Drosophila melanogaster: one gene and its partner. The protein of the gene in region 1 purifies or fractionates together with the protein of each later gene. This does not show direct contact. Each region holds a gene or a part of one and is shown in the gene's direction. Other genes may lie near its edges.

Region 1 (3,754 bases):
ATCTGGATCCTTGGGCGGAGGCGTCCAAATGTCGGGGTCCGGCTTGAACCAGGCAGATGGATCTTTACTGGTGGTGCTTTCTTCGCTGAGCTGGTGTCGCAGCTTGTGTGCAAATTTGGTTGACTGTAGGTCCAGCGAGATGTCTTGTAGGGTTCTCTGAATGGCCTTGATTTTGGCGTGCTCCTGGCTAATCTGCTGGTTGATCTGCAAATCGAAGATCAGTTAGTTAAATGATGTCAATGAAATCGTCCGGTATGGTAAATATTAAACTTTTTGAAAATACTTGGTTTATTATGATCTATTGGAGTTTTAGCCAGTTACTTTGTGCCAGTAGTGCTAGAAATTACTTTGTAATTCAAATTTTAGTCATTCGGTAGTGTTCTGATTAAATTAAATCTTTATATGCACGTTAACGATCTAGATAACTCGTTTACACAAAACCTCTTGGGCAATTTTGAATGGCGTTGACAAGATGTTATGACTAAGTCCTTTGTTTGTCATAACCGTCACCATTCGCATTCATTGGCATGGTAGTTGACAGTATCTGGAGGTGGTGATAGGAATGTCTTACCATGCTCCACTTGCCCTTGCGTAGCGGATCCGCGGTGGCCTTCAGCTGGCGGGCGAGCAGCCCCTGGAGGCCCTCATAGTAGATGCAGGCTGAGTCGTAGTTGCCCGTCAGAGCCATGTCCCGTGCTAATTTGGCATTCTCGCATATTTCTTCAAACGTAGTCTTGGCCATTACGGTCATTCCTACGCAAGTGGTTGTCTTTTGCTTGCCACCTCGCAGTAACTGGCGATCGGAACAGGTTGTCGTCATTGTAGCCAAAAACGAGAGACAGAGATTAGTTCCAATTAAAGCGCTCGAGTGCGTGAGTTTCTCCAAGTGTTGCTGGGTGGGAAGGGGAACAATAGAACGGAAGCGACTTCGTCATTCGCTGGCTCGCCTTGCAGGTAAAAATGGAAAGTGCGCCTCCCAGCCAGAAGCGAATAAAGTGGAAAACCCGGCGACAATTGCGAATAATAGAAGATGCCAGTGGCAACGACCCAAGTGAGCTGCTAATTATAAATTATCAGGCGCACAGCCGCCGACTTGTCACCAAATTTAAACGCAACGCGCTCCGATTTTCAATTCCGCCTCCAAGGCGGGACGTGGGCCAAATGCCGATTGGAAAATGTATTAGGTAGTTATGAGCCGAATAAGGCGTTCGACCTTGTTGGCTTTGAATGATTCTTTCAACTCGACTCAAATCGTCGTATGCAAAAAAAAAAAAAAAAACAAAAAACACAATAGTAAAAACAACAAAATTAACGCTCGCACACACACACGCACACTCAGCTCAGGTTTCAGCGGCACACAACACACACTTTCGCACACACGCACACGGGCGCACAATGGGTCGAATTAATGCGATCTAAATAGAATTTGAGTTAATTGCAAGCCTCTGGACACAGCAAACTGCACTTTGCATTCGACACTTCACCGTATTTCTTATTCTTATGCTTCTTATTTTATTTCCAGCTATGTGGGGGCGTCTGCAGCTGCAGCAACCACAAGAGCAACAACAACAGCAGCGCTGACGTCTCGCCGCCGCACACCTACAATTGCAGCTGAGCAGTTCGCGGGCGACTTACGGTTATGGACATTAGTGTACTAGCTTTGTTACGCGGCGTTCCGAGCGCAAAATGAATGCGTAAACTATTTAATTCAGAGTTTAAGGTGCTGCGGTAGCTAAAATAAACTGCTGCCTGCCTGTGTTTGTAATACTAGTGATGTGCGTGCTCTGGTGATGCGGGGCTTATCGATACATCGGCGCGGACACTTGACCACCCTGTTGCGTTCCCTGTGTGCAACAGTCGGCGACTATCGATTGTTTCCAGAGCTGCTAAAAATATATTTCTAAATTTACAACGAATTACAAGAAAATAAAAAGAAAATCTCCGTATCGTGTCTATCGATTATAAATCAATATACAATATGTAAGTATATTTTCCAGTTCTAGAATTTGTCTCCGAGCCACACATTACCATCCCTGAGCGCCACTGCAATAAAAGCTATATTAATCGCTAAAACATTTGCACTACTGTAACACCAGTCTGGCATCGCTGTGATATAGATAAGGCCAGTACGACAAGTCATCGGTTATCGGTTCTTAACATTTCGGCTTAACGTGCTTAAACTCATTTAAATTTAGACACCACTCAAGCGACGGTGCCGCAATGACAACGCCCACGCGCGCCACCCTGGAAAAGGCTCTGAAAAGCGACCAGAAGCTTGTGAATTCCGCCACACAGATAGCCAAGGGCAGGTTTACACCCGCATCCGTGTCGAATGTGCCCTTCTCATAGAGATTCTTTGTTTCCTCCAGATCTGACCGCCAAGGCATATGACATATCTGCTCTGGCCGAGGCACTGGGCTTCGCCCTGTCCTCTCCGGACATGGAGGAGCGTGTGGCCGGAACCAACTTGCTCTCCGCCGTGTTGATAGCACTGCCCCAGGATCTGCTGCAAGAGCGGCAGCTGGAGTTCCTCAGCACCTTTTACATGGACCGCCTGCGCGACCATCACAACGTAATGCCAGCCATTATCGATGGAATCGACGCCCTGGTTCACATGAAAGCTCTACCGCGCGCCCAGATTCCCCAGATTCTGCAGTCATTCTTCGAGCACACCACCTGCCAGTCGCAGACGCGGAGCGACCGCACCAAGCTGTTCCACATTTTCCAGTACTTGACGGAAAACTTCCAGGACGGTGAGCCCTGATTTCATTTTAGCATGAAAGATACATTGACATTGCTTTAATCCGATTTAAACAAGTCAGTGTGCAAAAAAGTTATAATTAGATGATTTTAACTAGTCGAACAGATATTTGCGACAATCTTAGTACCTTTTATTTCCGTTATTTTTAGAAAATATTACACAATATTACAACTCAAACAAATCAATTTTCTTCCCGATACAGAGCTGCAAGCGATGGCCGGTGACTTCGTCTACGGCCTGATCAATTCCATTGACGGCGAGCGTGACCCCCGCAACCTTGACATCATTTTCAGCTTCATGCCCGAGTTCTTGTCAACGTATCCGCTGCTGCATTTGGCCGAAGAGATGTTTGAGATCTTTGCGTGTTACTTTCCAATCGACTTTAATCCCAGCAAGCAGGATCCAGCGGCCATAACCCGTGATGAATTGTCCAAGAAGTTGACTAACTGCCTGGTAGCCAACAACGAATTCGCTGAGGGCACAGTGGTACTGGCCATAGAAAAGCTGGAGAGTGAGTTGCTGGTTGCCAAACTGGACTCCATAGAACTGCTGGCAAGAAAACGTAACATTTTGAAATGCCTCTTTTTATACATGCTATTTATTGTTACAGCACCAAGCTGCCGTGAAGTTCCCGCCTTCCGTTCTGGAGCCGCACTTCGATCAGATATGGCAGGCTCTGAAAACAGAGACTTTTCCAGGAAATGACAATGAGGAGATACTGAAAGCTTCCCTTAAGGCGTTGTCTGCGCTCCTGGAGAGAGCTGCTCACATACCGGATATAAGCCACAGCTACCAGAGCTCTATTCTGGGCGTAATTCTACCGCATCTCAGCGATGTCAATCAGCGGCTCTTCCATCCTGCCACCGGGATCGCCTTAGTTTGTGTATCGGGAGATGCGCCCTATGCAGCGGACAAAATCCTCAACAGCTTTTTGCTCAAGCTGCAGGCCGCAGATGCTAGTTCTGAGCAGCGGATCAAGATCTATTACATAGT
Region 2 (3,754 bases), on another chromosome or scaffold:
GATGAAGGTTGATTTACAGCGACGGCGTCGTACCCGCCTGCCTATTGACACAGAGACCTTGATCGAGGAGCAAGGTTCGCACGCCTACGATGAGGGCGAGGAGCAACACGACTACGACGCTAAGCTGGAGTCTCATACCACACAATCGGAGACGTATTCGGTGGTCGTGGAGGCGGACGATGGGCAGGAGCCCGAACAGGAGAGCTTCGATGAGTTCCTGGGGGATGCGGAGTGCGAGCAAAAGGTCAAGGTGGTCACAATTCATCCGGAAATCGCTGCTCCGAATGCGACGTCCGCACCTGAGCCTATTGAGTCTAACCACGCGGATCTGAACTACTTGGTCTGTATGCCGCCCAATGCGAATCAGGAGCGAGAGCATTCCGCCCCAGAATTACCCAATCCCACGGCCGTCATCACCCAAAAGACTTGCGAAACAGAGGACGACTTCTTTTGCAAGTCGATTGCCGCGTATTTGCGCCAACTGTCGCGCGTGCACAAGATCAAGGCCAAGGTGGAGATGTACCAGATTCTAGAGAAGTACATACTGCTCGAGGAGTGCGGAAAGGGGTCGGGTGCGGGCGGATCAGGCTAAGCAGGTTGCATGCAATATGTACATAGGTTTTAACATAGTTTTTTAATGCAGTACAAATATACAAAGAGACGAAAATCTTTTGAGCTTAATCTAACTTTGTGCTTAGGAAAAAATGGAGTCTTAGCAGAAGTCCTCGTTGATTATGTTGGCATCTACGGCCAGGCCTCGTTCCTTTAGTGCCTTGGATACTAGGCGGTGTTTCTCCTGCCGCTGCTCCTGTTCCCTACGCTGGGCGTCCAGGATTTCATCGACGGATATCTCTTTGAGTGGCAGTTTCTGCTCCTTTTCACGGTCCTTTTACGCATATTTAAAGGGTGTTAATCAGTCATATTGAAAAAGTATCGAGTAAAGCTTACTATTTCGCCCAGTAGCACCACATTCTCCCCGCGAATGATGAAGACTCCGCGAGGAATGTCGCCGTATTCGTTGCCCACATGTATCCGCTCGATGGTGCGTTGCAGCACCAGGTTGGCGAACTGGTCCACGGACCGCAGGTATCCAATCAGAGTCCGTCCGTCTCTCAAAAGTACCATCAGTTTCTCTGCAATGCGCCGGTTTTCAACGACTGGCCTTCCTTTCATTCGGATTTACTCACTGTCAACCTCTTCCAGGAGGTGAGCCGTGCCCGCCAGCGGATTTAAGTCGTCCATGCTATGAAAATATGTGGGATTTAGATAAATAAATAAACTGAAGCAACTAAACTTTGGTCTAAATTTTAGTATTTAATATTAATGTAACCCTCGCTGAAGGGTTTAAAAAACCACAATGCTCTAGAAAAAAATACTAAAAATATTACTACACTGTTCAACGAAACTTATAAGATATTGCTTACTGAAATTGATGTTTTTAGTTTTAAAATGCATAGATATTAAATAGTTATTATTAATTTTCAAACAGTTAAAAATAAGATTTCTGCTCTAACATCAAATATTTTTACGCTGTTCACAGAGTTACAAAATAAAAAGAAGTTGACCAAAAAAATATCAAAACTTGTACTCAATCCATGCAAATTTTTCACAGCCCCATCGATAACGATGGTACAAATTCTATACCTCGATAGTACCATCGATAGTTTGCCGGCACAGGGAATTGTGAATTATCCCGGAATAGGCGAATAATGAAGTAAGTGGCAGAACGGGATAAATGAAAGTACTCCTTTAACAACCCAGTCCACAGGCTCAGCGTGGACGGCCTGTTGGTGTACTTTCCGTACGAGTACATCTACCCGGAACAATATGCCTACATGCTGGAACTTAAGCGTAGCCTGGACGCCAAGGGCCACTGCCTGTTGGAGATGCCCTCGGGAACGGGCAAGACGGCCACGCTGCTCTCCCTGATCGTTGCCTACATGGTGGAGCATCCGGAAACGGTGCGCAAGCTCATCTACTGCTCGCGTACTGTTCCGGAGATCGAGAAAGTGATCGCCGAGCTGCAGAACCTGATGGTTTACTACGAGCGCCACTGCCCCAATCCACCACCCTTCACCGGTCTGGTGCTCAGCTCTAGGAAGAACATGTGCATCCATCCGGAGGTCAGTAAGGAGCGCGAGGGCAAGGCCGTGGACGGTAAATGTTACGGACTCACTGCCAGCTACATTCGCGAACGGCACGAGATGGACACCGAGACGCCCATTTGTAAGACTATTGTTATCCATATGTAACCATTATTTCAACTGCGAACTTGTAGGCCAGTACTTTGAGGGATTTAGCCTGGAAGGCAAGGAGTCCACATTGCCGGTCGGCGTCTACAGCATCGATGATCTTAAGGAATACGGTCGGTCGCGCAACTGGTGTCCCTACTTTTTGGCTCGCTATGCTGTGAGTTTTTTCGTTTGAAAATTTCAAGACTAGATTTGACTATATCTTGCATTCTTTACCAGATTGCCCATGCTCACATTGTGGTATACAGTTACCACTATCTATTAGATCCGAAAATTGCCCAGGTGGTATCTAAGGAAATGAGCCGCGAGTCCTGTGTGGTCTTTGATGAGGCGCACAACATCGACAACGTTTGCATCGATTCGATGAGTGTGAAGATCAACAGACGCACCGTGGAGCGAAGCACGAATGCTTTGAACCATCTAACTAAACTGGTTCAGGAGTAAGTTGTTCAGGATATGCGACTGGTTTATGGCCAAAAAAAACATTCTTAATCTACAGCATTCGCGAAGAGGACACAAATCGTCTGAACGAGGAGTATCAGCGCATGGTGCAGGGTCTGAAGGATGCCAGTGTGCAGCGCGACACGGACATGATCCTGGCCAATCCGGTCCTGCCAAACGATGTCCTAACCGAGGTGGTGCCCGGAAATATTAGGAACGCCGATCATTTCCTTAGCTTTCTGCGTCGATTCATCGAGTATATAAAGACAAGACTGCGCGTTCATCATGTCGTTCAGGAGTCACCTGCGGGCTTCCTTAAGGATATTTCCTCCAAGATTTGTATAGAGAGAAAGCCTCTGCGTTTTTGTGCTGAGCGCCTGTCCAGTCTGCTGCGCACGCTTGAGATCAGTGATTTGACGGAGTATGGAGCCCTTACACTGGTGAGCTTTCAAATTCCATACAAGGTAAAAGCGATATTAATGCTCTTTCTATTTTCAGATTACACACTTTGCCACCCTGGTGTCCACCTACACAAAGGGCTTCACAATCATTATAGAACCCTTCGACGATAAAACGCCGACTGTTTCGAATCCCATTTTGCACTTTAGTTGCCTAGACTCTTCCATTGCCATGGCTCCGGTATTTTCGAGATTTCAAACCGTGGTCATCACTTCTGGCACATTGTCACCCATGGACATGTACCCGAAGATACTCGATTTCGATCCAGTGGTGATGAGCAGCTTTACCATGACACTAGCCCGTCCGTGTCTTCTTCCTATGGTAGTTAATCTATATAATCCAACAATCAGTCATCACAATTATCTGAATGTTTATTCCAAACAGATTGTATCGAAGGGCAACGACCAGGTGACCATTTCGTCCAAGTTCGAGACGCGAGAAGACACCGCCGTCATTCGAAACTATGGCCAGCTTTTGGTGGAGGTGGCAAAGACAGTGCCCGACGGTATTGTATGCTTCTTCACCTCCTATTTGTACTTGGAGTCTGTGGTGGCCTCTTGGTATGATCAGGGAATCGTCGATACCCTGCTTCGCTACAAGCT

Evidence for each region. Proteins that work in one complex are often made in the same cells at the same time.
Region 2: the proteins of Mms19 (region 1) and Xpd purify together in Drosophila melanogaster (affinity purification with western blotting, with the first as the bait; one study listed by BioGRID). This does not show direct contact.

What each region holds. Positions count from the first base shown.
Region 1 is NT_033777.3:5,230,422-5,234,175, forward strand, and holds the start of Mms19 (Mms19), read left to right. Parts: upstream 1-2,121; 5' UTR 2,122-2,220; coding exon 2,221-2,305; intron 2,306-2,369; coding exon 2,370-2,753; intron 2,754-2,963; coding exon 2,964-3,313; intron 3,314-3,371; coding exon 3,372-3,754. Other genes in the region: Kat60 (katanin 60), read right to left, coding at 1-204, 572-892, 1,636-1,647. UniProt on the Drosophila melanogaster protein: Key component of the cytosolic iron-sulfur protein assembly (CIA) complex, a multiprotein complex that mediates the incorporation of iron-sulfur cluster into apoproteins specifically involved in DNA metabolism and genomic integrity.
Region 2 is NT_033778.4:21,169,353-21,173,106, forward strand, and holds the start of Xpd (xeroderma pigmentosum D), read left to right. Parts: upstream 1-1,648; 5' UTR 1,649-1,709; coding exon 1,710-1,714; intron 1,715-1,768; coding exon 1,769-2,226; intron 2,227-2,278; coding exon 2,279-2,409; intron 2,410-2,471; coding exon 2,472-2,692; intron 2,693-2,751; coding exon 2,752-3,133; intron 3,134-3,191; coding exon 3,192-3,473; intron 3,474-3,536; coding exon 3,537-3,754. Other genes in the region: hng1 (hinge1), read left to right, coding at 1-592; LSm1 (uncharacterized protein), read right to left, coding at 713-886, 949-1,133, 1,188-1,242.